2 linked regions of the Danio rerio genome follow. The protein of the gene in region 2 interacts with the protein of the main gene of each other region in a pairwise test. Links are inferred from orthologs where the notes say so. Each region holds a gene or a part of one and is shown on either strand. Other genes may lie near its edges.

Evidence for each region.
Region 1: the proteins of gps2 (region 2) and sestd1 interact in binary tests that used the Homo sapiens proteins (3 or more experiments, as listed by UniProt). The two-hybrid records come from large-scale screens. The link is inferred for Danio rerio from reciprocal best matches to the Homo sapiens genes GPS2 and SESTD1.

What each region holds. Positions count from the first base shown.
Region 1 is NC_133184.1:44,888,602-44,892,431, reverse strand, and holds part of sestd1 (SEC14 domain and spectrin repeat-containing protein 1), read left to right. Parts: intron 1-1,807; exon of another isoform or gene 1,808-1,855; coding exon 1,856-2,015; intron 2,016-2,104; coding exon 2,105-2,186; intron 2,187-3,450; coding exon 3,451-3,573; intron 3,574-3,830. UniProt on the Homo sapiens protein: May act as the primary docking protein directing membrane turnover and assembly of the transient receptor potential channels TRPC4 and TRPC5.
Region 2 is NC_133180.1:24,725,869-24,729,698, reverse strand, and holds part of gps2 (G protein pathway suppressor 2), read right to left. Parts: intron 2,346-3,830; coding exon 2,269-2,345; intron 2,156-2,268; coding exon 2,060-2,155; intron 1,877-2,059; coding exon 1,793-1,876; intron 1-1,792. UniProt on the Homo sapiens protein: Key regulator of inflammation, lipid metabolism and mitochondrion homeostasis that acts by inhibiting the activity of the ubiquitin-conjugating enzyme UBE2N/Ubc13, thereby inhibiting 'Lys-63'-linked ubiquitination.

The sequences.
Region 1 (3,830 bases), on a different chromosome or scaffold from region 2:
CAGGTAGATGCAGTATTCTTTTGTTATTTTAAAGACATTGAGGTGACATTGCTGTTTTTGTGTTTAGTTATTCAAAGAGTACATTAGTACATTTCAGATGCAAAAACCTCTAAATACTGTCTTAATTTTCTCCTAAAATGGATTTTTTTTTCAAGCTCCTGTGTATGTTCAGTAAAGTCAGTTATATGGCAAATAATATGTTCTTTACGTTGCATTTAAAGTGCAACAACTGAACACAAACATAGGATCCTGAGTTAAATGTCATTTTAGAAGTTTTCAGACGGCATTTTTTTTGCATCTGAACTCTTCATTTGTTTTAATATTTTCTTTTTATTCAGTTCATAATTTTTTTAATTTATAAATGATTGAAATGTCTTTTTATTATCAACAAAAAAATCATTTTATGCATTTTAGTGCTTTGTGTATAGTCACCCAGATTATTATTATTTTTTGTTTTATCACATATTGATGTTAAAAATCTTATCTAAATTATAAGTAGTATCTGTTTGTGGTTTTTAATTATATTTATTAATGAAATGTTTTTGCGATGAAAATAGTGGTTGTTGCTGACATGGAATTAAACAAAAATGTATGATACAATATAAATATAAACATGTTAATGTATAAATAAGTTTTTTTTTCTTCCAGTTGATAGGCAAAGGAATGCTTCTCATTATATGATGGAAACGAAACGTGTTATTCAATAATATGAATAATAATGAACATGCAGTGATGCATCTCAAACAAACACATTGCATGTTTTTATTTAGATTATATACATGCGCTACAGATGAATTGGGTAAACTAAATTGGCCGTAGTGTATGCGTGTGAATGAGTGTATGTGGATGTTTGCCAGTACTGGGTTGCAGCTGGAAGGGCATCCGCTGTGTAAAACATATGCTGGATAAGTTGATGGTTCATTCTGCTGTGGTCGACTCCTGATAAATAAAGAGACTAAGGGTGCTTTCACACCTGTGAATCGATTCAGTTGTTCCGAAACAGAGATTACAAATGTTACATTGTTGCTCTTTGCTCTTGGAGCGGTTCGCTTTTAAACTGCAAAGTTTCTAATCGGACCAAAATAGCTAAAACAAGTCACGTGTGAGTAAACTCTTCTCACATTGGTCAGAGTGTCAGGGTTTATTTTGCAGCGTCCCGCTCAGCTGTCAGGAGAGGTGGTGGTTTGGTGGTGATTGACAGGGTGTGTGCGCGATGTGTCTGAGGAGAGACGGGGTGGGGAGGGGTGAGAAGGGTGCGTGACGATGCCTATTTGAGGACCGGGAGGGAGACGCGAGATTACCGGGAGATCATCACTCGTTTGCGGGTATCCGGAGACTCGCGAAACTTCCCGCCATACTCATAATTCTCTCTTCATATGGCCGTAAGCCTATTACATATCCATAAAACACTGTGATATAACCGCGCTCGGATCGGATCGCTTTCTCACTGTAATCGAACCGATCCAGGGTTCGTTTCAATCGAGCAGAGACCACCTCATTCAAGCGATCTCGGGGCGATTACTTTGGCGCGGAACAGAGCTCGATTACCCTGTTCACAAACGAACCGCGCTAACTGGGCAAACGAGACACGTTCCGAAACAAAAGTGTAGGTGTGAAAGCACCCTAAGCCAAAGGAAAATGAACGAATGAATGAATGAATGAATGAATGAAAATTACTTTTTGTTTCCAGGTTTGACTGCAAATAAGTTGCCTAAAACATAGTCATAATTAAATTGGATTTGTTTATTCATCAGCCTACTCTGCTTATGCATGAACCCAAACAGTGGAAATGTTAAATCCCATTTAGCTGAGTTTCCTTTCTTTCTGTGTATTGAATACTTCCACTGTTTTCCAGAGAGTGCCTTGCAGACCTTGAGAGAAAAAGGCCAAGCGCTGCTTGACCAGATGTCCAACCAGACATCTTTTTCCTACGGCAAGGAAGTAGGGGTTGAGAACAAGGAGAATATCGACCACATTCACAGCGTCATGGAGGACATGCAGCTCCGCAAACAGAGGTTCCTATTACATTTTTACCATCATGAATATGATGCTTACTCAAAGAACAAAAAACAAAGTGGCTGAGATGTTAACCTGTGTTTTCCAGGTGTGAGGATATGGTTGATGTCAGGAGACTGAAGATGCTGCAGATGGTTCAGCTCTTCAAGTGTGAGGAAGATGCTTCACAGGTCAGACAATGACATTCATGTGGACTAGGGCTGCACTATATCGGGAAAAATAGTTTTATTTAAATTTATTTTAAAAAAATCACTTTTCTGCAATAATATATTTTTTGTTAAAAACAGTTTTAATAGATTTCTCATGCTGTGTTCACACCAGACGCGGAACGCATGGATAAATCACGATATTGAATTTACTCGTTTCATTCTCGCGTCAAACCCCGCTTCATTCACACGTGAAATTTGCTTCATTCGCGTGAAGGGCAGGGCTTCTGTCTGCCCGGTGACTGTAGCTTCGTTGCTAAAAGGCTAACATGGATTTTATGAACAAAATAACATTGTTCATGTACTTTATGAAGGCTGAAAAACACCGTCGATACGTTTAGGACCGTGTCTTAGTCCACTACATGCTTTCAGAGGTGCATCCAGCTGTGTGAGCTCATAAACTCCTCCAGAAACTGAACCTGGATCACGGAGGCTTTAACCGGTGCTTCTGACTGAGCCAAGCCCAGTTTGATGACTTGTTGTCGGTGTCGCCTGGAGGATTTCCCCCGGGAAACCATCAACAAGTTCTACGTCACAATCACGCCCCCACAAAAGCAAGCTTCTGATTGGTTAACGCGGCGTGACTGTCCACTGAAGTTCAGATTTTCGAACTCGAGAAATTCACGCGTTAAGCGTGTCAAACGCGCAAAATGCTCAATTCGCCCCGTGCCATTCGTGCATATCGCTCTATTCGCACCACGCCATTCGCGCAATTTGCGTAATTCGTGCCATGCCATTCACACGTATCGCGCCACAGGATGTCTATTCGCGCATTTGCAATAACTTAACATGTAAATCACTTGCGCTTGACGCGAGTTCTGCGTCTGGTGTGAAAGCAGCATTACACCTTTTTTTAAAGAATTTATACTTTTAGGTTGATTAGGATTATTCTGCATAATACATAATAATTAAATTACAGGACGATGCAAAAGAGCAAAGATGCAACTGAAATGAAGAGTGCTTTTCTGTTTTTCTGAGAAGTAGAAGAGTAGTGCTTTTAAAAAATGCTATGCAAGTGATAAATGTTTACTACATTATGGATGAACTTTGCAATGACAAACTATTGTACCTGATCAACTAGAATCACAACTGGTCATTGCATATTCTCTGACTATTGTGGATGTCTACATTGGGGTATTTATGCAGATGTTTTTTTGCAGCCCTAATGTGAACAGACTCACTGAGGTGTCTCTGTAGTTTCTGTAAGTGGTGTTTGGTGTTTTCATAGGCAGTAGAGTGGTTGGGAGAGTTGCTCGATGCTTTGTTGAAGACCCACATCCGACTGGGAGATGATTCACAAGAAACCAAAGTGCTGCTGGAGAAACACAAGAAGTTTGTGGATGTTGCACAGGTATTGGATGCTCAATTATACTGAATGTTAATTGAAACACAGAGTAATATTAAAACAGAATAGACTGAATAAATTCCTGACTAAAATGTAATAAATTCATTCTTGTTGTTTTGTGAAGCATGGGTAGGCCCCACTGTCCACAGACTTTTAGCCCGTAATTAAGTCTATGTATTTACTTGTAAATGTGTTTACATTTATATTTATTTCGTTTTTAAATTCATTTCACTAATATTATTTTGATATTATCTAAATAATAA
Region 2 (3,830 bases):
ATGACAAGATTAAAATATGTAGATTAACCAAATGTGTTGATTAATCATTACTAAAGGTGTTCATATATTTTGCAGCCAGATTAGAGCAGTCATTTCATCCTCTTTGAGTCTATAGGAAAGTTTTTCTGAGTCGCTTAGACTTTTAAAAATAAATTATTTAATGTTTCTCTCACGACAAGCCAAGCGAAAGTAGGCTTAAGTTAGAAGTTAATGCAAAAAGGCATACAAGTTTTCAAAAGCCAAATCAAAAGATGAATCCTGGACATTTTAGGAGATTTAGACGAATTTAAGTGCCAAAAAGGTGCGTCTTTATGGGTCTGCAGAGCACGTGAGACTGTCTGTGGGAGTGTTGACAGTTCACGCAAGTGAAGAAGATTTTCCAGTACTTAATTGATCGCAGATGTTTGGTTATGTTGCGCAGATACAAAAAAAAAAAAAAAAAAACGTATAAAAAGATCATAATAATAGTAAAAAAAATATGTGTCACTAGTTATACCTGGGCAGCCGCTCAAGTAAAGTTTGTGTGGGAAGCACTGCACTTTCTTTATACATACATACATACAGTGCTGTGCAAAAGTGTTAGGCCACTAGTATTTTCACCAAAAAAAAAAAAAAGGTTTAAAGTTGGTTATTTCTTTATTTTTCTGTCGCATGTCAGTTTGAAATATAAAGCTACCTGAAAAACTATGGGCAAGTGTATCAAGTGTTTTAAATGCAAAGTTTTGTCATACCAAATGTTAATTTGGTTAATTTACTAAAATATATTAATGCGTCCACCTTTAAAATGTGGTTGTCTCAAGTATATGCATTATTTCCACTTGGAAATGGAAATAGATTTTTCAAACTGACAAAAATATAGAAATAACTGACGTTAAACTTTTTTTTTTTTTTTTTTGTAAAAATACTAGAAGTCATTTGTTTCTATATTTTTGTCAGTTTGAAAAATCAATTTCCATTTCCAAATATTATTGTTTTCATGAATTGTATTTACACATGGAGAATATTGACTACACAAGGAGTCTGCTAAGAGTCAGTGCTCCACACAGAGATCTGATCTGATCATTATCCAGTCTGTCTTAAATGGCTTCCAGAGAAACAGAACAAACTAAGAGAAACTGAGTTCAGAAGAACTTTGGCAAGATCTCTAAGTTGCTCTAAGATTTTCACAAACAGTACATGTGTGTGAAAATACTGTAAAATGAGGATGCTTTCAAAAAATAATGCATAAGTACATTTTATCAATTAACTTAATTACTAAAGCATGACAAAACTTTGCATTTAAAACATTTGCCCATAGTTTTTCAGGTAGATTTTAAACCTTTTTTGTGGAAATACTAGTGGCCTAAAACTTTTGCACAGCTCTGTACATCACTGGAATACTAAATTCTTCCAGCAATTATTGGTTCATTAAAAAAAAACTATACATTTAGACTTTCTCAGTCAGATATCATACATACTATCATTCAAACTTGTGAGGTTGGTAATATTTTCAAGGTGTAGAGACAATGGGCAAAGTAAAAAAAAAAGTAAATAAAAGAGAGGTATATGTATATCGAAACATAAAAAAACAACAAGAACTGGAGTAATGCATACTTAAAATTCTGTTTAAACAGAATAGGAATAGTTTTATTCATTACATTTAAGTTTTAAAATGGAACCTTTTTTTAAAATAGTAATAAATTATTTCTTTAACCATTTGCTGTGACCTTGCTGAATCAAAATACCTCACTTATTCTATAAACAGTAGTGTATAAATATACATAAATACAAGATATAGTATAAAGAAACTTACTGCATGTGCTTGCTGTGAGGGCGTTCCATGGGAAAATGCACCTGGAGATGCTGGCCTTTGCGAATGTGTATAAGATATGCCAGACTATAAAAAAGAACAGAGCAAAGGTTTTTTTAAATGTTGAACAGGCCACAAAAGCAATACAAAGCATCCATTTTAATCATCTTTACATTAAAACAATTATAGTACAGCAAAGCCTAATATCTCCAATGCTGCAAAATCAAGACTGTGGCAATACAGATTTCATGCGGTGGTTGTGGCTCTGACCTTGCCAGGAGGAATCTGCACAGCAATAGGAGGAGTGGACAGCAAACTCGCAGCGCTGACATGAAGAGCCTGTGGGTGCATGGGCCTCAGGGGACTCTGAAAACATCAATGGGAATCATGCTTTAATTTAATTACACAAACACAGCTGAATCCCTCCACTGAGTTGACGTAGTTTGAAAGAAATGCACTTCCTGACCATCTCCACTTACAGAGTCTGTGAAGCCGGACTGCTGGTTAGCATGTTCCAGCTGTTTCTGAAGGGGAATCCCAGCGCTAGGGATGTAGCCTAGAAAAAGATGGAAAACAAAAGAGTTTGTGTAGCTATCTGCCAAAAAACTGACAGAGGAAATATTACCCCCTAAAAATACAGACTGACTGAGTTCCCCACCTACACCCATTTAACATTGTGTGTGTGTAAGAGAGAGAGAGAGAGGAGGGCTACTCCTATGACAACAGGATGCATATATACATAATATGTAAAAGTTTAGTGAGTGATATAACTCACGTGACCTAGTTTGTTTTGAATGACTAAGCAGATGACGCTCTGGCATGGCTGGAATTCTCAAACTTCAAACTCTCAAAACTTTGGCATTTGCTTGATTTTAGGTTTGCAGAGATTTTGGAATCACAAAATCCTGGAGGGTCTGGTTAACACTTAAAAAAAAAATCATAAAACAAACCAAAGTGACCTTAGATGTTTTAAATTGGGGGGTAGGTCCAGTTTTTGTTTTACTGCTTTCAATAAGCTTGCTAACTAAATAAAGATTGTAGATTATGATTTAAATCTTGCTGCTAAAATGTTGACATTAATGTCAAAAAATTTAACTGAGTGTAGAATTTTATTTTAGTCTTACGACATATTTTTCATTTCTAAAGTGATCTGCATACGCTTCATTTCATTAGTGTAGGTAACGTACCTAAAGCTGTAACTGCAACATTGAATATCATTTTACTTCAAACTAATATTTAAATAAACATTTGATTTCAAAAGAATTCTGTAGCGCAGGGTTTATAAACCTGTGGCACACATGCCACCATTTGCAGAATTACTGCCACATAAACAATAGAAACATTGATTGCAGTTTGTTAAAGGATTTAAAAGCTGTAAATGATGGATATTTTTGGAGCTGCTTTTTGTTTGTTGTTTTAGGCTATACTCACTCAGTTTAGCATTCAGTTTGTGTTAAAGTTCCAATATCTCTATTAAAGAGGTGGTCCAGAGTGTATTTTTAAGGCTTGGATGCATTTATAAAAATGCAAAGCAATGTGTGCTCATGCTTCATTTGTAGAAAATCACGTTACTTTTTCATATATCTTAATTTGATTATATACAGCTACTCAGCTAAAATGAAAACAACTGTCATATTTCCTAGCTCCTCCAAAAGGGCCGCCCTCAAGAGGCTCTGATTGGTCAGCTAATATAATGTGCTGTGATTCGTGTATCGGCTCCACGTCAACAGGAAAAGCGTCACACCTCTACAAGCACGCACTTTGCCTCAGCTGTGTAAATACTGTCCATCAGTTTGTGCCTGAATCAGTCAGAAAATGACACAGAGAAGACAGCTGAACCTCACACCTGCTCTCTAAAGTAAGATCTGACAAGTGTCTTTCACACATATTCAGATGTAGAACGCAGGGAAAGCACCGCATAGAAAGACACTGCAGCGCTGCTGAAAATTGTGGGTGTTTACAGCGGTTTGATGGAAAAATATGAATTTGTAGCTGAATAGTTAATAATGCCAAACAGCATTTCCTGTTGTTACATCCTTGT